Linked DNA regions of Arabidopsis thaliana. The protein of the gene in region 1 interacts with the protein of each later gene in a pairwise test. Each region holds a gene or a part of one and is shown in the gene's direction. Other genes may lie near its edges.

The links.
Region 2: the proteins of MYB56 (region 1) and AT2G38300 interact in a two-hybrid assay, tested with the Arabidopsis thaliana proteins (one large-scale study listed by BioGRID).
Region 3: the proteins of MYB56 (region 1) and BBX31 interact in a two-hybrid assay, tested with the Arabidopsis thaliana proteins (one large-scale study listed by BioGRID).
Region 4: the proteins of MYB56 (region 1) and ESE3 interact in a two-hybrid assay, tested with the Arabidopsis thaliana proteins (one large-scale study listed by BioGRID).

The regions. Positions count from the first base shown.
Region 1 is NC_003076.8:5,873,857-5,880,776, forward strand, and holds MYB56 (myb domain protein 56), read left to right. Parts: upstream 1-3,256; 5' UTR 3,257-3,390; coding exon 3,391-3,772; intron 3,773-4,055; coding exon 4,056-4,481; intron 4,482-5,051; coding exon 5,052-5,215; 3' UTR 5,216-5,475; downstream 5,476-6,920. Other genes in the region: WOX12 (WUSCHEL related homeobox 12), read right to left, coding at 6,720-6,737. UniProt on the Arabidopsis thaliana protein: Acts as a cell-specific local repressor of quiescent center (QC) self-renewal by cell divisions in the primary root. Counteracts brassinosteroid (BR)-mediated cell division in the QC cells.
Region 2 is NC_003071.7:16,042,037-16,048,656, reverse strand, and holds AT2G38300 (myb-like HTH transcriptional regulator family protein), read left to right. Parts: upstream 1-2,641; 5' UTR 2,642-2,977; coding exon 2,978-3,212; intron 3,213-3,363; coding exon 3,364-3,440; intron 3,441-3,563; coding exon 3,564-3,600; intron 3,601-3,687; coding exon 3,688-3,799; intron 3,800-3,920; coding exon 3,921-4,482; 3' UTR 4,483-4,709; downstream 4,710-6,620. Other genes in the region: AMT2 (ammonium transporter 2), read left to right, coding at 6,366-6,620.
Region 3 is NC_003074.8:7,707,390-7,713,088, reverse strand, and holds BBX31 (B-box type zinc finger family protein), read left to right. Parts: upstream 1-3,155; 5' UTR 3,156-3,425; coding exon 3,426-3,791; 3' UTR 3,792-4,256; downstream 4,257-5,699. Other genes in the region: BBX10 (B-box type zinc finger protein with CCT domain-containing protein), read right to left, coding at 4,996-5,125, 5,212-5,462, 5,549-5,699. UniProt on the Arabidopsis thaliana protein: Developmental regulator acting by forming heterodimeric complexes, that sequester CO and CO-like (COL) proteins into non-functional complexes. Involved in the CO-mediated long-day flowering-promotion pathway.
Region 4 is NC_003076.8:8,704,985-8,710,533, reverse strand, and holds ESE3 (Integrase-type DNA-binding superfamily protein), read left to right. Parts: upstream 1-2,648; 5' UTR 2,649-2,878; coding exon 2,879-2,961; intron 2,962-3,064; coding exon 3,065-3,527; 3' UTR 3,528-3,789; downstream 3,790-5,549.

The DNA.
Region 1 (6,920 bases):
TCATTAATTCCCCTAGAAATGTATTTTATCATAATTAATTACTATTTATACTTTGATGTGACATGTTTAGTTCTATGCCACAAGTGCAATGGACGGGCTAACAACTTTGACATGATTTGTAATTAAAATTCAATTTTAATAAAGAGACTTTATGTCATTACATCATGAGATAAAGCCCTAAATTCCTCAAATTAGTTAAAGTGTCTTCTTTAAAACTAATCAAGAAGTTTTAAAGAAACTTTTTCTATGTTAATGTAATTAGTGTGACTTATCTCATGAATCATGATTATCCGAACATTATTTTAGCGCTTGGAGTTTCGAAGTTACCTTTTCTCGCCACCTTTTGTTTTCTGGGTCTATTGAAAGATTGTCTCAAATTTTAAAAGGATAAGAAAAACACAATTCCATTAACTTTAATCGTACAAGTGAGAGTGTTAGAAATTGTGGTTAAACAATGATCAATAACCACTAACCATTTCGTAAAATTCACCGACGACTTTATCAAATGACGAACATGATCCGATGGATCCACGAACTACCGAAAGAGAAGTAACCTCAGAACTATGTAGAAAAAGCAATCCTATTATTCATTCGAACTAATTCAATATGCAGCTAGTTTTTTGGTCTAACGACTTCTTATCGTACCATTTTTCATCTCTTATCATTTTTACCATATTCAACCATACCACCATTTTTATCACTATTTTGTACAGTTACAAAGCTCTTACCGTCTTGCGCTATTAATCGGACCATTAAACAACTTCACATAAAATTTTATATTAGACGTTTGAATTTAAGTCGAAGTTTTGATAATCTTAAATGTAACCCCTAAAATACAGTCGATAGTATTTGATGAAACAACTCCCTCATTAAAAATCGATTACTTTTATAAAATAGCTGTAAAATAAATGGCAACCCAAACGAAACAAAAAATATCTATCCCCCGAAACATATTACATATACTCCACATCTTTCATATATGTTTGTTTATCGGTATGTCTTTAATATTATCTCTTCTTACCCCAAAATTATACAACAATCTTTCAAATTACAGACCACTTTCATGGTCGTTGGAAAAAAATAATTCTTCCATAGTCGAGAATATGATTTGCAAAAATGTTATTAAATAATAATCATTCAAAGTATCTTAATAAAAAAACAAAAGAAAAGTGGAATTGGTCCATAACGGTTCGGGGAACTTTTCTATGAACCGGAAACTGAAATTCGTGAGGACGGTACACGTGTTAGGTAAGAACACGATCCGCTCGTGTGTAACAGCCAATGATGTCGTCATTCCACGTCGGTACAAGACTTTTTTTTTGTCGTCAACAGAAGATTTCAAAATTAACGAAACCGTTCCCATAACCGAAACTCACATAAAAACAAGACACAATAAATAAAAAACTTTAGGTACTTTTCTGTCGTTTCTTTGGTTTCTAACGTCTATTCGTGTTATATTTGTTTTATTCTTCATTTATTATTGTTGAATTTAATTCTAGTTCGAGTTCAGTTACATGATTTCTCTCTTTAATCTCTAGTATTTTAATCCATCAAAATTATGTGGTTGCATACTCGATCGAGTTTAGTACAATTACTAAAATATGTAGCTTTGTTTAGTCATATCAAGACTATAGTAAGTTGTTACGCATGAAAGATAATTATTACATTCAAACGAATGACCACTCAATTCTTATATCAAAAAGATACAAAAAACTAAAGTCTACAACTTATAGGTTCAATGGGAGCATAAATAGTCCATATCATTGAATAATAATGGTCTTCAATAGAGTTGGTTGTTCAATTATTATTTTTGGTTTATAAGAAATGAATTGAACTTTTGTTTGTCACCATTCACATTTTCTTCTCTTTTTTGTACTTTTAGTTTTCCTAAAAATTAAAAAAACTATGTTCCCTTCGTACCTAAAACTTACTTTAAAATAACCAATTTGATGATAGTTTTTTTTAAAAAACTTCAACAAAGATTATATATTTCATCCTGAAACAAAAATTACAGCAAAATTTAAATTTAAACTAGTAGCAAAAAATATAGGATGTGCATATGTTTTCTGTTTGCCACGTCTGTTTTCCATTAAATGTACGCACAACATTGTTTGAGTTCAATTAACTATTTAAGTAATAAACAAAAACAATGCTTGAATTTCACTGAATATAGTATATAAGTAAAAATGTATACACCCCAAACGACGTCGAACCCATCGTTCAAAAGATATTGAAGTACTTGAACTAGTTGTTGAGCTAATCATCATATTACTTTATAATTTAACTACACAAAACGAGTTCTTTGAAAGATGCGAATATATATATACACACTTATACGTTATGGAGAGAACAGAAAGCTCATAAAAGCAATTTATTTCTCTCCCTTTAAGATCTTTTCTTGCTTTGTGTCCGAAACAGACAAAAATTGATTCTGTTGTTTTTTCCCATAATTAACTCACACACACACACTTAACGTACGTGCAATATCTGTATGTGTGCATAGTATATACTATAGCCACACGAGCGGTTCAAAAATGTTTTTTGGAGTTTCCGAGACTGTTGAGACTGTGGGGCCTATGGTCATCGAACCCTCCCACACGCACGAGCGGGTCTCGTTTTGCATGCATCTACACTACACGTACCCACCGACTTTTCCAAATCCCTTACTTTTGCACGTGTAGAGAGAGAGAGCTTTGTACTGAAAGTATCTCATTATTCGAAATTTTTCGTGTAAGAGTAAAAACTAAATCGCAACGTACGTGAAGGAAAACGTGAACCTTGAATATTTAATGTTTTCGTGCGGTTTCATTTTAACTATTTAATTAACACAATATTAGTACAATAACAAGCAGCTCTTATGAAGATAGTGATGAAAAATTGTTATAGATCTATCTTGGAATTTTAATGATCGAATTTCGATTTTGTACGACCACCATCGAGGCATCGACTATAAATATAGTTAAAATGTGGTTGCTGAAAAAAAAAAAAAAATGATAAATAAAATGAAACCGCACGTAATTGTATAAAACCATTAGCATGGGATTATTAGGCCACAATTTGGTAATTAACACTTGTAATTCATTTGAATATGCTTTTACAAAACTTTCCCTTCAATTTCTTTTGGTGTGTGAATAAACAGCTATCAATTTTGTTTTTCATGTACATTAAATAACCACTCTGCACTCATCATCATTTTCTAAAATATTCTTCTATATATATTAACTAGCTTGCAAATAAATGTAAATAAAAATATAAATTTCAATAATTTTTTTTAGAGAATCTCTCTTTCCTCTTCCACCATATAAACAGTGAAAAGCCATTCAAGTGCTCTCTCCCTCTATCTCTCTTCTATTTTTAGTTTCTCTTCCCTTAATCCCTAAACCCAGAAACATGAATCCAAATCTCCTTGAGAAAGATCTAAGAGGTAAGGAAACTACAAATGGGTCAATAAGATACAAAGAAGCAAACAACTTCAGATCTCTACCAAACTCACACACTGCTGCTTGTAAAACTTCACTCAACAACCCCTCTATCTCTAGAAACCATCCTCACAACAAATCAGCCTCAGTCTTGGAGTCGGAAGATGAACATGGGAACGAGAGAGGTGAAAACGAAAAGAGTTTAAGAATGAGGGGCAAAAGTGGAATTAACACAAAAGTATGCTCACGAGGACACTGGAGACCAACAGAAGATGCTAAACTCAAGGAGCTTGTTGCCCAGTTTGGTCCCCAAAACTGGAACTTGATTTCTAACCACCTTCTTGGTAGATCAGGTACATTTATTTTACTTAAAATTCTTATTACTTAATTATTTCCTTCACTTTTGTTACTCCAAATTCCGCAAATTTAACTATTTTTATGTAGAAGAAAAATAAGTAAATATATTTAAAAACTTTGGTGAGTTGAGTTTCCAAAGTTATTAGGCATTTTCGTAATTGTGTTTGGATTTTTTTAAAAATAGTTTTTACAAGTTAGACTAAGTTGTATAAGGCATAATGACATAATGCTTGATAGTAACTAATTTTTATAATGTGAGGGACACTTCTTTGACTACAGGCAAGAGTTGTAGATTGAGATGGTTTAACCAACTAGACCCAAGGATTAACAAGAGAGCCTTCACGGAGGAAGAAGAGTTTAGGCTGTTAGCAGCTCATCGAGCCTATGGCAACAAGTGGGCTTTGATCTCTCGTCTCTTTCCAGGTCGTACCGATAACGCTGTCAAGAACCATTGGCACGTCATCATGGCTCGACGGACTAGAGAAAGCCAAAGACAACGTCAACAGCCTCCTCCGACGTTGTCAAGAGACGCTGAAATGACGGTTTCGTCCTCTTGCCGCTACAATCAAGGTAAGTTCATCAATGAAGAAGATGACGACGACGATGTGTCAGCTGTCTCTACTTGTACGACGGAGCTCTCTCTCACTCCGCCTTCTTCAGCTTACCAGCCTCGCTTCTTTAATTACGATAGTACCCTTGCATCAGGTAACATTTTATTTATTTGCTTAAATATTATGTTTACTATGTTTTTTTTTTTTCTCTATTGAAAATATATTATTTTCATGACCCAAGACATTAAAAGTATAGAAACTTGGAATGTTTTTTTTCGTTTTCGGCTTTCTTGAGAAGTGTTTTCGTGAATCTAACTATAATGATCTCGGTCGGTTGGTCGAGATCGTATTGCAATCTTTATTGGGTGTATCGTTGATCATGATCGGTTTATACTTTAACCGGTACTTCCAAATATCATTTGTGGTCTAAATTTAGCTTATTAGATTCCAGTCTTGTTAATTTTTGAATGTTCAAAGCATATAAAATGATAATTTAGGCCGACATGTTGTATAACCGACGACGAGTGACCACTTCCTACACTTTTTCATATACATGGCAATAATTATAAATTTGAATGACTAGAAAAGAAAGAAACTGTTTTTACATCGTAAGAGTACCTATAGGCATAATAATATAAGGAGGTGAAGTACTATTGTCACGTTACTATTTCAATATAACAAAATTTCACGTGGGTGCTGAGAACTTATTTTTCTAATTTTGCAGGCAAAGATGGTCAGTGTGTGCAGAGAGCAGAAGTAAATGGCATATATGGTAAAAAGATGGACCATCAAAATCACCACACAATCTCAGTCAGTGAAAGAAAGGTGGAGATGAAGATGAGGAGTGGCTATTACTACTTTGATTTTCTTGGAGTTGGAGCTTCCTGATTAATTAGTTGCAGAGCTAGGGTTCAATGCTGAGGAATTGTGAGATAAGAAATGGCTTTAGTTTCTTCTATTTTTCCTGGTTAATTAGGCATGTTTGTTTAACATCTTAATTTGGGTTTTGGAAGAAGTAAGCGGTATGAGGGAAAACTGAAAACAAAAACAAAACCTAGAAGTAAAATAAAAAGTTGAATATATAATCAACCTCTTTTCTGTAGAATTAGAATAAGTGTTCATAAAATATTGCAATTTTCCTTACTCACACACGCAAATTTAACATAGATTATGAAACAATAGCAGTAACTAAAACCAGCGAGTTATTTTTGTTGGTAAATTACAAGCTTTGATCATAAACCTATTGCATTTTATAGTGCATTACATGAAGGATGTTATCTGCTATTTTTGGAATGTCACATATATAAATAATTCAGGAATTTCTAAGTAAATAATCAACGTGGGAAATGAGTTCTTGTTTAAATTTAAAATCTCAATTACTCGGCTCGGCTCGGATCCCTATTATCGGATACCAGCTACATTGTTAAGTTGGGCCTAGGACTACAAAAGAAACCCATATATAGACGTACCTTTCATTTACAAAGGGTCCAAAAAGCTCACATAGAAGTGGGCTTACTCGTTTCTTGTCGTAATTTTGAACTTAACCCTACCCTTCTTTCTCTGTTCAAAAAAAAAAAAAAAAAAAACCCTACCCTTCTTTCATTATTATATCAAGTTCACAAAATTGACATCCCCAAGAAGAAAAAATGGTAACTAGCGATCTGTGTCGAGTACTGTATTTGTACTAGTGTACTTTACAAATTGCTATTCATATATAGAAATATACGCACTTTGTTAGTGATATGATTATGATTCGCATTTAAATCATTATATTTGATTTTTCTGTTTAAAAAAAAAATCATAATCATATTACTTACACACTTTACTTTTGGCTCTCTCATTCCGTCATTCATTTAGTTCTTTTTGTTCGTTTAATTGTTCACTTGGTTAGTTAAGAAATTAAAAATGTTCACTTGATAAGATATGTTAAATGTTATCCTCTAGGATAAACAGAAATAATAATCCTCGATCGAGAATGGTATAAAGTACCTTAATACCTTTCATCCATTGGATAAATAGATTAGATCAGCTATGTACTAAGATGATCTATTTACATCGAAAAATCAAGATTTTTGTACATACCAGTTTAATTTTTTGGATTATCTTTAAATATATCAAGTCCGAGGGACATCTTTTTTCCACAAACTAGATCTCTAATTAAGATTTGGCTGTGGAAAAAAAAAATATTAAGATTTGGCTTGTTTTGATAGATAAGGTTTGTGTTCAGGCGAGCAAGAATCGACAAGAAAGCAAAATATCTGACGAGTCCAACATTTATTTAATCTTTTTATTATTACTTATTTGTAATCTAATTATACACGATAGACACGAAATCAATAGAGGTAAAAAAGAAAACAATCGACCGTATATGTTCCCACATAAAACAGCCAGTTCATGTCTGTCTCGGTACCTGTCGATGACAAAAGGAAAACAAATAAAAACAGATTCTTAATTAGGGAATAATTAGAGCATTTTAATTCTTAAAACTGCTAGTTCACTAATTACTGATAATATTGAAAAATGAAAACCCTAACGAGAAATGGTTTAACATCATTTTATATATCCACCGTCTATTCTTTTTTCTTCTTTTTTT
Region 2 (6,620 bases), on another chromosome or scaffold:
ATCATAAAAATCAAAAACTCGCACAAAGGACGGGTTCTAATATAGTTGATATATATGTTTTACATCTTTTCTTGCTAACATTCTACTAATATCTATATATCTACATAAAAGTACTAGAGAGAATTACCTGCAAGTGAGATTTGAGATATACACAGATGAGTGTATAATATGGTCAGCGGGTCAGGATATGTAACTTTTGTTTGATTATGGGTTTGAAAATGTGCAAATAGACAGACATTACTTCAACTAATTGAGAATAATGTTGGATCCGTATTTGTAGGAATAAAAAATAACTGTTAATTAGAGGTTGACTTCACAGTTCACAAGTCGGGTTCGGGTGTACAAGAATCTTGTCAGGTCACACCTAACTCTTATGATCGTCTCTTAGTTTTTTTTTTCTTTTTTTTTCACAGGCTTAATGGACCCTTTTGTCTAATTTGATGGCATATCTCACAAACCATCCAGTTCCATGTTTTTATAAACATGCTTTTTAAACCTTTAAAATGAAGGACACAAATTAGGATTCTCGGTGCAAAATTGCATGTGGACGTGTAGAAGCAGAAGGAAGATGGAAATTAAGTGTAAAGAAGAAAGGAGTGGTGACGAGAAGCTTGTGAAGGATCGATGGCAAGTCTCTTTACACGTGGGGGGAATGACAAAGTTCTTCTTTTTTCTACTTCATCAAAGCTTACAATTTCCTCTCCTCAACAACTTTTTTTGTTTTTTTTGGTAGGGAACAACTTTTTTTGTTTGGCTAGCAGAATTTTATTTACTAACTGGAAAATATGAACTTAAGCCTATAGTTTAATCTCATGAACTCATAATCTCCATTTAATTCTGCAACGAAGTTTTATTGGATGGCATGTACCCGAATCTATAGTAGATATATACAACTGGAAAACAGTATTGTATATTGTTTTCGTGATGCACCAAAAACTTATGATTGAAATTTACGTAGAAATAAAACAGTACAATTTGTTAGACATGTTAATAGAACTGATCTTGTGAGTGCTCATATTTCTTGGAATTCCAAGAGGACTTCGAAAGCATAATTGGATCTAAAATATATTATATCATAAGCATATATACGTGAGAATGTATTTATCTTATTGTTTTCATAATAGAAGTGGTAAAGGTAAATATTCAAACTAATTGTCGAAATATGCGGAAGAGGTAGTATTCAATGGCTTACGATGACTAAAATCGTAATTACAAAAATCACCATAAACTCGTCTAAAAAGACTTTCTTTGCAATTAAAATTAAACCATATAGGACTTCGATTTATACGGTGTCAAATTTTATAACTATGTATGTTAATATTACATATTTTTGGAACGAACGATGTAAAAAAACGGCTCAACTAACAACGCTATTCATCGCTTCACGGGGTCGGATGTGTAACGTAAACCAAGCAAGGACCACTTTACACATAAACTAATTCTCTCATACGAATCTACAAAAATACATATAAAGATAATATATAATTTTGGGGTAAGAGAGGAGCATTGTCCCGTGATTCTCGTCGAACAAAAAACAGAAAAAGAAAGAAAGAAAGAGGTATGTGTGATGATGTGGTCTACATCAAAGACAGCTGAGCAGTCACACGCCTTGTAATCGTAATTTATTCGTCTATCTACCACTCTCGCTCTTCCATTTTTTGCCTTTAGCATTCAATTCCACGCAAAACCCTAAACCTCATAATCTCATCAAAAAGTTTTAAAGATAAATATATATGAATCTACCCATTAATCAATATATTAGTTAGTATTGTGATTTATCACTTTCTAAATACTAAAAAGTACTCAGAAGATTAGAAGGTTGATTTTAAAAATAAATTTTCTAACTAATTTGATCGCTATATCAATAGAAATGAGAGGATTTAAAATCCATCAAGTATAGTTCACTTCGATAAATTAATATTTTGTATAAATTGATTCATGTCACGTACTGGATCTTTTAAATCGTTGAGGATCAAAAATTATTTTGCAACAAAAAGAAAAACAGAAGGAAAAGAAAGTTTAGTTAACATTAATTTTAAACCAAATGTCTTAAGAAAAAGACAATGATCTCGATCATCAATGATCCTAATTCCGACAAAACTACTCTGAGGTATATTATAATTTTGTGAATTCGATTTTGTATTTAATTATTTTTCCTGGAAACTGCATCACGGTATCAAAAAATTTAAAATTCTTCATTTTTTTGTTTTCTTCTAAACTCAAATAACGTCTCAACTATACTAATATCTTTCTTATTTTCTTATAATTATTAATTTTTTTTTTTTTTTTTTTTTTGTTGTTGTTGTAAATAGTCTTACTTATACTAACTAATTCATTCATAGACTGTTAGTCCCGATACATGAATTTTATCTATATCGATCTTTGTAATCGAAATGTTTGTTTGACGAACTAAGGCAATCTAAGACTACTAAGAATATGCTATATATAGAGCCTAATTTCTATCACACTCATCTTAGCCTTTGGTGAACAATAATATAGAATAAGTGTTACTTGTAATTTGTTGGCATGTTAAGGGTATAAACAACAATTTATCTCATTTATAGGAGTAATAGTTTTCTCCCTCCATGGTTGATATTAATATGCATCCACATATTAAAATATACAACTATTTATATATAGAGCTGTCTATAGTAGAAAAGGGCCGAAATCAATTAGCTGTGAACAGAAAAGAAAACTTTTTAACATATGCAACAAGATTTAGGTGAGGGTTTGTCTACATGTTCCGGGAAGAGAGAGAGAGAGAATCAGAAGTGTATCTTGATCTAGGGTTCACAGACAAAATCTCCATGCTTTGAACTAAGCAGAATTCATCTGGTCTTTTATCTCTTTCATATCAAACCAAAGGATTGATCTATCCATATCGTCCAAAACCTATATCTAGCTAAGCCTAGAACTTCTCTATCGTTTACCACTTTCTTTCTATATTTCTTCTGAATTTGTAACATCAGAAGTAATAATGATTCCAAGTATGGAGGGAGGCGGGAAGACTAACAGAGAAGAAGAGGAGGAGGAAGAGGAAGAAGAAGAAGAAGGTGAAGAGAGTAAGGTTTCAAGCAATAGTACAGTGGAAGAGAGCGACAAGAAGACTAAGGTTAGGCCTTATGTGAGATCTAAAGTCCCTCGACTCCGGTGGACTCCTGATCTTCATCTTCGCTTTGTCCGCGCCGTTGAGAGGCTTGGAGGTCAAGAAAGTACGTCCATAGCTACTAACTTCATCTTTCATCACCTCCTCCACATATATATAAAAGCATAAGCAATTTCTTAGTTATTCTTAGGTTAACTATTTGGTCAAAACCTCATGTGATTTTCTTTTTTTTAATGTGTATGTTTGGTTATGTATAGGAGCAACTCCAAAGTTGGTTCGTCAGATGATGAACATCAAAGGGCTTAGTATTGCTCATGTCAAGAGCCATCTACAGGTATTTGATCTACATACATCTAAAACGTACCTATATATGTGTTGTATTTTCGATTTCGTTTCAAATAATCTCTGAAATTAGAAAAAAAAAGAAATCACTAAATTGTGTATTGGAAAATTTTAGATGTACAGAAGCAAGAAGATAGATGATCAAGGTCAAGGTATTGATTCTTTCTATTTGTGTTCATTAGTTAGTTATCAAGTTATACATGTATAGGCCAATAAAGTGGGGTTTGAATTGTTGGCAGCTATAGCTGGTCACAAACATCTCTTCGAGACTTCCACAGATCGAAATATTTATAAACTAAGTCAGCTACCGATGTTCCGAGGCTATAATCATAACCATGATTCTCCATTCAGGTTGATATAACTTTTTTTTTTGAAAATTTTAGATTTTATGTGTTCCTTAATTTGAATGATATTCCGTTTTAATTATATTTATTCGGAAACTAAATTAATTGTCTTCTTTTGTTTTTGGTAGATATGGAAGTAAAATTTCAAATGCTTCTTTGTGGAACTCTAGCTCTCAAGGAACAGAAAGGAGTTTGATAGACCAAATTAGGCCCGGTTTAATCCGCAACGCGTCGGTTAGCAATAACATCCGTGGTAGTGATTATTGGACTAACAACAAGTCTTTCCAAAACATCTACTCTTCTTCAATTTCTAATCACTTTCCGAAACTACGACACGATCATCACGAACGGACCAATTCAGTCACATTCAACAGCATTCAAGGACACTCAAGAACTTTTCAAAAGTTCCATAACGGTGTTGAGGAGAACACTAATCATTCTTATTGTAGCAAGACAAATGGCAAAAGAGACGCAAGTAGGAGCATTGATCTTGATCTATCTCTTAAGCTAAGACAACCGGAGAAGACAATTTTGGAAGAGACAGAAACAGCAGCAACAACAACGGATCAAACGTTGTCCTTGTCGCTATGTCCAGGGTCGTCTTCGTGGAAAAAGAGCCGACTGATGAAAGATGAAGAGGATCGGACGGTTAAGATTGGTCAGGAGAGTACTCTGGATCTGACTCTATGAATTATATTTAAGAATGAGACAAATTCTAAGTGAGATCTTGAGGTACTTACCGATATCTTAATATTCAGTGTCGTTGTTGTTTATCATTAATCATGTATTTTCTTTATTATTAGAAAGGAAACAAAAATGTTTGATTATATTAACGGTCTTGAGTTTGTTTGATACCGCCAATTTGTATCATCACATATATAAACAAATATTACTAGCCACATCATAATGATTCGATCTTTTGTCTTCTCATAGCAATATACTATATGAAAATTACATATACATATAACAACAAATTTACATCGATTAGAGTATCTCTGCTGGTGAGCTTCATTCATTTGTAGATGAGACTTTTACGTAAATAGTACAAAAATTTTGGTTTCGTATTTATCCGAACAGTACATGGACAATTTTGTAGTTCCAAAACATGTTATAGTTAATAGTAGTGTTTTCAATAATTTCCAAAATCCATCTTCACTCATTTTTCCCTTTTCAGAGACATAGTGAAACAATTTTACACTATGCAAATCCGAAGCCAATTATTTTTGAGGTTTTTACTATATGTGAACAAGATTAATACTTAAACAACAAGACACACCTCGTTCTTTGTAAATATTAAAGAGGTTAAAGATCATAATACAAAAAAAAACATAGAAAAAGTTCACAAATCATCAAATCTTTTGAGTTCATTATTCTATATAAAATTTTATCTCGTGAAATGTTTATTGTATAAGGATGTGATTAGTTGCAAACCAAAAATTAATGTTTAATAGTATTTGATAGGGAACTTATTTCAACTGTGTAAAATTTTCCCGGTAAAATTTTCGTTCAATCAGTCGATTCTAAGAACATGAATCTTATTGAATCTCTAATAATTTATTGTATAATATGGTGGCACCTATACGTCAATACGATAATGACGTCGTTAATAGTAACGTTGAGAGTTGAGACTGTTGTATAATTTTGATTCGACGTGCCAAATACTACGTTCGACCAAGTATCAATTTTGATTTTCCAAAAAGAAAAAACAAGAAACTTAGGATCTCCGTTAGTTTGATTGGATACACTGATACTGTTTCGATATTTAGACAAACAAATGGAATCTTTGCTTCTTAAACATTCGATGCGTGTGTGTACCTGGTCAACTTCTTCAGACTTCATTATCAAACATGGCCGCACGATCAGTTTTATTTTGCTACTGGAGAATTAACTTATCCACCTCAGAATCTAAACTAATTTCTGAAACTATATAAGTGTTTTTTGGGGCTAAAAATAAGATGCATGAAGTGAAAGTATCCTAGTGGTTAAAAAGGGGTGTAAACATAACGTTTAATGTTGTATCCCTTTATATGTACCTCTAATGTCCCTCTTTATTTACTTTTAATGATTTTTAAGACTAAATATCTTCAGTTGAAGTAGGTAATCTTTTTGCCAAATTAGTCTTCGCAATACACGGATCGATTTCCTTATAAGATATTAAATTTAACTCATTCAAAAAATATTAAATTTGCAATGACTTATAAGATAAATAAAAACCAAGGTCCATATCTTATCCCAATTTGTTTTTTTTTTTTGTATACCAAATTTGTCTCCTATATTGTTTTTATATGTTTATATTCTTTCTCCTAGTAATTTACACAAAGAATTTAAGAAGCTTCATTGAAATATCAAGACTAGAATTGAAGAATGAGAAACATATCTATCAAACCTCGAAGACTTTTCTCCATCAAAATGTGCAAACAAAACACCAAACCCAACTTGTGTCTTGTCTATTCTACACACATTATTATAATTAAAGGCTTTCACACCTACACAAAAAAAATTCGTACCATTGACTATAAACATCACAAACCCAACAAAAATTTCATCAACTCCGGGAAAGATAGAATAACAAAATGGCCGGAGCTTACGATCCAAGCTTGCCGGAGGTTCCTGAATGGCTCAACAAAGGAGACAACGCGTGGCAGCTCACGGCAGCGACTCTGGTTGGTCTACAGAGTATGCCAGGTCTTGTTATCCTCTATGCCTCCATCGTCAAGAAGAAATGGGCTGTGAATTCAGCTTTTATGGCTCTTTACGCTTTCGCCGCCGTTCTTCTCTGTTGGGTTCTCCTCTGTTACAAAATGGCTTTTGGAGAAGAGCTTTTGCCG
Region 3 (5,699 bases), on another chromosome or scaffold:
GCGGAACTATCCAATAATTAAATTTTTTTTATTAAAGGTAAGTTTGAGTAAAATAACCTAGCCAAGGAAAAATATTAAACTAGTGTTCTAACAACAGTCTAGGTAAGGTGGGTGTGTAGACATTAACGTCATACACTTGTTGCATCTTTTCCTATAAGCTTTATTTAATGAATGGAAGTTTTTCAGTGGTTTAAACGCTTGGGAACATATAATGTCTTAGACAAGTTGGAAGTGAGTGAAACAAAAATTTCTACTTGAGACCACAACTAGACAAGGGATTTTGTTTTGTTATCAAAGATTTTTTTTCTCTCTAATATGAACATTCTCTCACTTCTATAGGAAAAAAGAATCATTGCTCTTCCAAAGTCATAGATTAAACAGTTATTAATATCAGTGGAATATGTGTCAAGTTGACCATCTGGTTCTTCCATACACACCTTTTGTTTCATCATTTTTGAAGATGAATTTTTGATATAAGTTTCTTCATGTATCCAACTAATGTTTCTCTTAAAATTGCAATCTCTCGTATCCACTTTACCTTAACGATGTTTCTCCCAAACTTGTGATCATATATTTATATACACACTGTTTTGATTTCAAGACAATGATAGTATTTATTTAAGTTACTAATTCTAATTCAAAGATCTATTAGCTTTTTGGATTTTGTTGATGATAAATAAGTTATTACAATGGCCTTTTTACAACATACCCCGAACTCTATATATACTCTTTTTTTTTAGTCTATATATACTTTTATGTTAAATAGTTTGTTTCATTACATACTATATAGGCTCATATATAGCTTATATTTTTCTTGGACAATCGTTTTTACTAACGCAAATCGTTTAGACAACAAAATGATTTAGCATAAGATATCATATTCATATCACCGTCCAAGTTTCTTCAACTTCGATCAAAACTATAAAAAGATATTTTATAAACTAGCCAGGGTTATAGTTACGCGTATACATGCGTAAATGTGATAATATGTCCTACGTACCAACTAAAAAAAAATCTGAATATTAAAATTGCAAAAAAATAATGGTCACATACTTTTGGAAAGATTGGACGGCTAAGGTCTCGTACCAACAGGCAACAATAAAGAACAGACAGAAAAATCTGAGGACAAAATTAGAAAATAAAAAGCTTTTGGATTTTTGAACCAATATGATCCACACAAGTGGACTTATGCATCAACACTGAATCAACTTGTGGACAACAACAACATCACTTTTTTTTTCCATAACGTATCAAACATACAAATATAATAATATTTTCGTCTCATTATTATTTCAGTCCGTCTAATAAGTGTGCGTATTTTTGATCAGTCAATAATCCATACGACCCACTACTTTATCTTAAATTTTGTAGAGAAATGTCGTGGGTTTTTTTTTTGTTATATATATACTTTGTGTATGTAAAAAGTTAGATATATAGTCTTCATAAAATGGTATAAGACAATATGTGTATTTTCTATTCTGAGTAGAGTCCGCCAATACCCGATCTTACTTGTATTAGAGACAGAGTGTTACAGGTTGTGGTTTAACAGAAACCAGTTGGTTATGTACCGATTATATAATGAGATGTACATATATACTCTAGTCTTTCTATTTCTCAAGCTTTTATATTTCTTTCAAAAACTGAAATTTTTTTCTTCACATAAACATATTTGTAACCTACCTTTGATTCAGTATAACTTTCTGCATTATATCCGAATCGAAGCAAGATTGGAGGCATAAAGAACAACAACTCTAGTTGAACGTCCAAAATGGAAAATACCTACTCAAATTATATATTACATAATGTCAAGGTTTTAATTTGGTCTAATTAATCTTCAATATTAAACATATATATGCAGTTAAAAAATCTAATAACATCATTGAAGATATTTTTGATCATTTAATGCTTTATAATTATCTCTATCTTCACGTAAATTTTGTACTATTAGTAGAATTTAAGTTAACGAAATGTATGACTCCGATCATTACATGTCTAAACGATGGCGATAGATATGATGTGCTGCTATGTTTTAACCGATACGATATATTTTAGCAACAACGAATAACTATATTATAATTTTGGTTAAAGAGATTCAATAACATATTTTGCTAATTACTTTATTTTATTTCGTCCGAACTGTAGTATGTAATTAATCTTATTAGGTTGCTTTAACAATAGATTAAGACACTTACTAAATGAATTCACTATTTTACAAACACTGTTTACGAATAATGTGATGCTAACTACAAAATCGAATATTGTGACATTAAAATGCTTTTCGATTACTTATATACGTACTACTAAGCAATCACACGCAATGTATAGCAATTCAAAATAATCAAACCTTTTTAATTAACTGATATTATTCGTAATTCGTGGGGTAGCTTTCACTAATATTAAACAAATAAATGACTAATAAATCAACCCAAAAAAAAATCTTTAAATGTGAACCATACAAGTGAAGTCCTCTTTGCTTGTTCTGATAGTAAGCTTATATAATTAATTAAGAGTTGACTGACTAACAACCACACAATGTCCCAAAGACAACCAATAACAACGATACTTGATATCACCCTAAATTCTAGCCGTTTCTTATGCGTACCCCCTATCCTCCACTAATCACTTGTAGTATCTTTAATTTTTTTCTCTAAACAATCCCTTAATTATTTTAGAAAATTCTGTCACAAATTTCAATAGGAAAATGAAGGTGTGCTAAGAAACGAATGATAATATATGCCGGTTTTTTTTATCCAACTAGTTCTAGAACCTTAAATATCATGTAAATGTCTCAAAATTTATACCTTGGAAAAAAAGAGATAAACTACACGACTATATATGTTTTCGCTTTGGACAAGGAAACTCCATCGTAATTAACTAAATTCGCAATCATTCATATTTGTTTATAGAATCGATTGTTTGTTAACCTTTCGGTGCATCTATTAAAATTTTAAATTCTCAATAGTTTGGTTTATCGTACACCGTAATCACATTACAATAAGATACATATAACATCATATCGTACAAAAAACAAAAAAAACAATGATTCACATTGAAGTGGTGGGTGATATAAACCAAAAGAAGTCGTACTAGAGGTTTGTTTCGATTTGCAAAAAAAAAAAAACGGAGTTTGTTTCGAAAATTTTAAAGTTGTGCGTCCAATATGAGGTCGAGAGATCGCTTGGAGGAGAAGCGTTTTTAATTTTGAAATTAACGATTTTGCCCTCATAAGGGCATTTACGTCAAAATAACAGGGCAAGATTCATCCACGTGTCCAACAACAACACAACACAAACACATCATTAGTTTTAAAGAAATAAGATTCCTATATAAATGTATAAACGTTTCTCCTATTCCCAAATCTTCTTTCCTCAATATCACCCAGAAGAAAGAGAAAGTGAAACAGATCAAGAAAGAGATTGAGAAAAATGTGTAGAGGCTTGAATAATGAAGAGAGCAGAAGAAGTGACGGAGGAGGTTGCCGGAGTCTCTGCACGAGACCGAGTGTTCCGGTAAGGTGTGAGCTTTGCGACGGAGACGCCTCCGTGTTCTGTGAAGCGGACTCGGCGTTCCTCTGTAGAAAATGTGACCGGTGGGTTCATGGAGCGAATTTTCTAGCTTGGAGACACGTAAGGCGCGTGCTATGCACTTCTTGTCAGAAACTCACGCGCCGGTGCCTCGTCGGAGATCATGACTTCCACGTTGTTTTACCGTCGGTGACGACGGTCGGAGAAACCACCGTGGAGAATAGAAGTGAACAAGATAATCATGAGGTTCCGTTTGTTTTTCTCTGATTATTAGATTTTTTTGGTGTAAGCTATAAATATTCTAGGGTTTTTATGCAATTTTCTTTTAAGAAAAATCTGAAAATTTTAATTTTATGAAGCTTAGAATTTTAAGAAATGTGTAATGAAAAAAAAAAAAGAATTTTAAGAAATGGGTAGTGACTAAAAATAGCAAAAAATATCTGCAATAGAAAGGGAAGAAACAAGGATCGTTTGTTGTTATTGAGTTATTCTTCGAATCTTTTGCTTTTTTCTACTAAGCAATGTTTGTAACCAACAAACAAAAAGTTCCATAAAACTGCTGTAAAAAAAAATTAACTCACCAAACTCTCTGTTTGGTATTTTGTTAGATATTTATTTTAGTGTAGTAAATCTTTCTCACTACTTCTTTGGACTTGTCATTTTCCTTAATTTAAAGGTACATAAAAGCAACTCCAGCCTTGTATTCTTAGCAATAAAAGTGATTAAATTTAATGAAACAACAAACCTTAGCTAAGATAAACATCTTAATTAAGATGTTTTCTTAAAACTAAGAAGAGTATATGTGTTGTATTTTGAGTGGATAGACATTTTTGAATTGTTGTTTTTTAAGAATCCAATAGTTCTTAACCATTGAAATAGAAATTAGTTAAACTTCCTCCTAACTTTTCTTAACTTAGTAAAAACAACATTTTAATTTAAAATAAGGTTAAGATTCAAAACTAAGAACCAATTGGTTCTAAACCAGTGGGGTAATAACTAAACTTTTTGCAAGTGAAACATCTTCATAATGCAATGCTTAATAAGTAGAGAATTGTTCTCTTGAAACACGTTAAACGCGAGCTCTGTAATGGAGCAGATTGTAATCACTGCTACTTTATTATTAATAAAAAAAAAAACAGCTAGGAAATTTATTTATAAAGAGATAAATTAGGATTTGTCCTATAAAAGGAAAAACCCAACTTAAAAATAATCAAAAACAAAAGAGATTCTGTAAATAAAAGAAGTTACTAAATAATTTTCACCATTTTGGCTTTCCACCAACTTTATTTAGTTCTCCAACGTTCCCATGCCTCAACATGTTGATTTCTTCGATTCACAAAAACTATACACAATAAGACAAACAATACATTACTTTCCCGACAAGAAACTGTTTTTACCAACCTTTATCATCATCATGAAGCATGGTTTAAGTCTGTTTGGGAAAGAAGACTGTACATTATTTTTGTAAATTTCAATTGTTCGTCGTCGGTGATGATGGATCATAATCATAACTGTCACCAGCTTTCACAAATCTTCCTTTCACTCTTTTCCTCGTGTCAGCTCTTGCTTTGCGAGATGCATATCGAATCTGTTTCCCAAAACTACAATTAAAAAAAAAGAAAAACACCATTAAACCTGATCCAAGTTGGTATAAACTCTGTTTTGTAATGATTAGTAATAAACTTACGAGCGCTTTAATTTCTTCTCCTTGTATCTCAACTTAGCCTCGTTTCTTGCTTGTGGACAACTAACTTCAAAATTCGTTTCCCATGGCGCTTCACTCATTATAAACCCTGGAGACATCCCACAATCCTGGTAATCAGCTGCATTGTTTTCACCAGTGATGTTAAGAGATGGATGGATTTGTCCGAACAAGACAGGTGATAGAGGAAGCTGAAGTCCAGTGTTGATGTTCATTTGCTGACCTGGTGGCGATGCCTGGAAACAGAATAACACAATTTATATTAGAAACTTTCTTGAGGTACTAGAAACTACAACAACGACAACAAAAAAGCGAAAGAGACCTCTAGAGCCTTGTCTACAGTAAAGTTGGAGCCGGTAAAGCTGGATGTGTTAGTCTTGTCAATCAATAGGCAATTTGGTACCGTATGGTCCGGTTCTATGTGTACTTCTGATGAACATCCGATAATATCATCTCCTACGTCAAAGTTTAAT
Region 4 (5,549 bases), 2.8 Mb from region 1:
TATTATATGAGTGTGATTATTTAAAATAATTTTTAAAATAGATTGATTTTGGTATATATAGTTAATTTACAGCTGAATGAAAGAAAAGGACATGAATCACAATCAAAACCATTTCATCACCCATGTTTATCTATGTCGTTTTGGGTCCCATGTCACGCGTTTACGACCTAGGCCCTACTCATATTTATTCATAATTCTTGTCTGATTTTCCCATAACTTTGTATGTAGTCCCAAAACACTAATTGTTAAATGTTTTCCTTTTTTATGGTTAAAGATAATTGTATATATTCGAGTTTCTCATTATCTCCAAGTCGACAAAAAAAAAAAAACAATTAAGATAAGTTATATAATATGAGTCACCAAACATATGATGAGCCTCTATGCTATAAAGACAAACAATCTAGACATAATTAACGAATGATCTAGTTGTTAAATTCATATTATAAGAGTTGCAAAACCGTAGCACATTTTGTGTGTGTAAATCTGACAAATTTGCTTCAATTACAATTTATAAGGATGATACCTTGTTTAATCTATTTTTTAATGAACATTGTGTATTTATTTTGTTGTTGTTCATTGCCATGCATTTGGGAGATAGATATTGAATACTTTTTCTCTTTCAGAGGTATGGTACTAGTTGAAACTTGGAAGATTAGTCATCACTACTCACACGTGCCAAAATAGTAGCAAAGAGACAAAATCCTCAATGCAACTTAAAATAAAAACAGTCTTTGTTATAGCTAGCTAGCTTCTCACCCTCACATGCTTTGCTATATTGTTTGATCGACCAATACAATTAAACCACGTATGAAACAAAGAATAGTTACCTAAGTAAAAGCGAATATGTTAGACATATCAAAATTATTTTTGTTTAATTAAAATTACAGTTGTAGTAATGTTGTTATTTCAAAGGTACATATATATTTCCATTATGTAACTTGCTGATATTAGCATTCAGTACCATCCTTCTTTTACTACACCACCGAGAGAGATAAGTTACTTTCTTTTTTTTCGTTTTCTTATGGACATGGATGCAAATATACAGACAAAAAAAAGCATATGTTGAATAATTATTAGGGTTAAGAATGATTATTAGTAGGGTGAAAATGATCAATTATTTGATAAAAAGTTAATGACCTTCTCTAGTTGTTTTTCTTGTCGTCATAATTGCGGTCTAGGATTCTTTCATCAATTTGATACTGGATTGAACTAATAATATTTGGCACTTGTTATTTTGATGTATCCATTCTACCTACACACTCTTTTGCCCAACATATTCTTCTATTACCTCTTATTCCAATTATAATTGACTCTAAAAGGATATAGTCTCAATTGGAGATTATTTTTTTTTTAAATATGCGTGCGACTGAATATGATCGACATAACCTTTACTTTTATTTGATGAAACTTTGTCGAACAAAAGATAAATTGGCAAACAAAAACATCCATATATAAACCCAAATAAGAAGTGGTTACTATGTGACATTCCCTATACAATTAACATATACTACTATCTAAAAATTGTAGATAAGTTTATGCAATATTATACTAATTCCCTCTCCAAGTTTCAGTAATGGGCATAATCACATATTTATTAATTATTAAACCTATGTTTTTAATTGAAAAATAATGTATTAGAGTTTTTTTTTTAATAGGTCGCAGACTCGTAGGTAAACTGTACACTCAGAAATCATGGGTATGATGACAATACATTAAGGTTTGTTTCAATAATAACAATACAAAATAATATTAAAGAAGGGAAAAGAGAAGATGATAATCGAAGATGGTTTTGGGTGTTTGATTGAGTCATTATCAAAGGCTCACATGGGTGAAGAATGGTGATGAAAGAGTCTCGCTAGTTATCAAACTATATATTTTCCAATTATTTATCGTTATTATTAATTAGTTGGGGAAAAATTTGGCAGTATCTATGATATAGAGACATGTTGTGATGATCAAACCCATGTGAAAATAGGTACAGTGGGTTTGAAGTTTCACCGCAGCCAAATCTCTTTGGATCCAACTTGTTCACAATGGGAAAATTAAAATAATTGATAAATATATATGCTATATACGTAGGGTTGTTATTATATTTAGAGCTATTTATTAGTTTTATCTTAAAAATACCCCATAACTTAGGATATTATAACTATAATTGTCTAAGTATAATATGTGTAACTTGGGACAAAAGGAAAAGAAAAAGGTTTGGATTAAATTATCTTAGGTTTGATTTCTAAACCGTTTTAATTAATTTATATTTGTTGATAAAAAATTAGCTTTTGTTACAGAAATAAATTCATATGAAACTATTGAACATTTGTAATTTTGTATTCTAACAAAAACTGTGATAAGTTTGTTAATTCATAATTTAAATTCTATTTTAACTTTTAGATAAATTACGATAATACTTTCCAAAAAATATCTCTAAATAAAAAAAACACTTTTCCGACAGTTTAGCATGTAGTTTCGAAGCTTTCAATTTTCACTATAATATGTGACAGAATTAGATAATCCATTTGCCCATGTCGCAGCAACTTCGAATACAACAAATGAAGTAAATTTAAGAATACTTTAAGTTAAATAAATTAATATAACTCTCTCTCTCACATCAAACAAAATCCATGAGATTTTCTGAGTCGTATTGGTAATGGTGTGGGTCCAATTTAGGACCAAATTGATTGCCAGTTTATTGCCAAAGAAAATTTTAACACAAAAACATTTCTCTCTCTCATGAAGCTAAAGCCAACACTACTTATATAGCTACCCTTCACTCTTCCAAAAACGCTCCTTCACTCTCATCATTCTTTCTTCTTTCAAAACATTTCCACAAACACACCAAACTCACCTGAAACCCTATTTCCATTTACCATTCACACTAATGGCACGACCACAACAACGCTTTCGAGGCGTTAGACAGAGGCATTGGGGCTCTTGGGTCTCCGAAATTCGTCACCCTCTCTTGTAAAAACTCTCCCTCATCATCCTCTCAAATTACGAAATTACCCTCGGTCGCTTTTTATTTGAGTAATGCTAAACTTTTTTGTTTTTTTTTTGTTTTTTTTAGGAAAACAAGAATCTGGCTAGGGACGTTTGAGACAGCGGAGGATGCAGCAAGGGCCTACGACGAGGCGGCTAGGCTAATGTGTGGCCCGAGAGCTCGTACTAATTTCCCATACAACCCTAATGCCATTCCTACTTCCTCTTCCAAGCTTCTATCAGCAACTCTTACCGCTAAACTCCACAAATGCTACATGGCTTCTCTTCAAATGACCAAGCAAACGCAAACACAAACGCAAACGCAGACCGCAAGATCACAATCCGCGGACAGTGACGGTGTGACGGCTAACGAAAGTCATTTGAACAGAGGAGTAACGGAGACGACAGAGATCAAGTGGGAAGATGGAAATGCGAATATGCAACAGAATTTTAGGCCATTGGAGGAAGATCATATCGAGCAAATGATTGAGGAGCTGCTTCACTACGGTTCCATTGAGCTTTGCTCTGTTTTACCAACTCAGACGCTGTGAGAAATGGCCTTGTCGTTTTAGCGTATTCTTTTCATTTTTATTTTTGTTTCCACAAAAACGGCGTCGTAAGTGATGAGAGTAGTAGTGAGAGAAGGCTAATTTCAAGACATTTTGATCTGAATTGGCCTCTTTTGAAACACTGATTCTAGTTTCTATAAGAGCAATCGATCATATGCTATGTTATGTATAGTATTATAAAAAAATGTTATTTTCTGATTTTTCTCCATGTAAACCAATTGAACACTTGAAACCAAAAACTAAAAATTACACATGTGTTCGTGTGTGAAAAAGTGGGAATTTAATGTAGTGAAAAGATACAACAATGAGAAGAAAGATATCTAAAGTAGTGAAGAGAGATGAGAGTTTGAATATTTTGAGTTAGCTTTTGGTTTTGTTCCATGCATGTTCTAATTTTTCAACGGTGGGCCTTCATTTTTTTATTTTTATTTTTGGTAATTTGGGATTGCTGCTAAGTAGAAAAAGAGTGTCCCTAGCTGTGGCTTGACGACCATAAAATCCAACTTTTTAATTAGAGGGATTTGTGTTTTCTAGCACCTTATATTAAAATAGAAAAAATAATTTAGCTACATAAAATAGGTGTTTGACTGCAATTACTCTGTTTCCTTAGAACACTCTGTTCTTCGAACAGTCCAAACCTATTATTTATTTGTTTTGTTTGTAATGCGAATAAAAGGAAACTAGTGTTTTCCGACCACTACTTTAACTTTTGTAACAAAATATGATTTACATTTACTACCTTAAGGTTGAATACGAAAATAAAAATATTCTCTAGCAAAGAATGGAAAACATAACATGAGCAGGCTTTAATATATCCTTGACGATCGGTTGATTCTTCTTGCATACATATACGCGATAATATAATATCAGTTGTTAGCAACAAGCCAAAATAGCTAAATAATGGCAATTCAATATGGTTAAAGCTCGTTGCGATATAACCAGTACACATGCAATGCATCTAAATTGCAGCAGACAAATGATTTGACGTTAGGAATTATTTGGATTTAAAGATTTTCTTGCCACCTTAATTATTTGCATGCAATAGATGATTTATTTTTCGACACAATAAATTTGATAATCCTTATAGGTTTTTTTCTTTCTTAAACAACAAATCTGATCATTCTCAAATTAACTTGCTATATTACTCAAATTACAAGCACAAAATTGCATGACCACTTATATTTGATAAGGTTTCTTTTCAAATCGTGAAAAACTATTTTCTATTAAATCTACAGATGATTTCTTTGCATGGTACAGATAATTTGTTTGTAGACATAGATTTCATTATTCTCAAGTTTAAGATGACAGAATCTCAATTATTTCTCAAATATTGTTTTGTTATCATACATAAATTCTACAATTTAATTCCAAAAGTAAATTTTTGAGGTGAAAGAAATACAGTTTTTAAAGATGTTCCAAACTATTTAACTCAAAGTTCCGTAGGAATGCATGCGATCACAGTTGATTTGGTAACAAGTGGAAATTGACTACGTGACTATGTATATTCTCCGAGATCCATTAACAACAAATAAAGTAAAAGAAGAAAATAACCAGTTATATGAGACAAAATGTGTCAAAACAATATTATTTGATACACATTAGAATCTCAACGTGATATTATTTTTTTGGATCGAGGTCTCTATCGAATAAACCTTATAATGATTATTCGACGTACCTGTTTGGAAATTGATTTTGTTTCCCCACAAACTTTCTAAAAAAGTAAGAAAATAAAGAAGAGGGAATTATAAAAGTATAGTTTTATCTCATTATTCTGTTTTTTTAAAGCATTTTGAAGCAGCAAAGGAGAGAATTTAAAATAATGGGCATGCTTGTGAGTTCTTCATCATTACTTCTTTGAACTTCTGTGACCCTTTTTTCCTTTAAGGATGGTTTTATATTGCCCCAATAAAAATTTCACTGCACTCACCAAATAAAGAATAAATGGGTAAAAAGTAGCGATTCAGATTCACATGAAAATGTATGTTTTCCATTCTTTTTATAGAA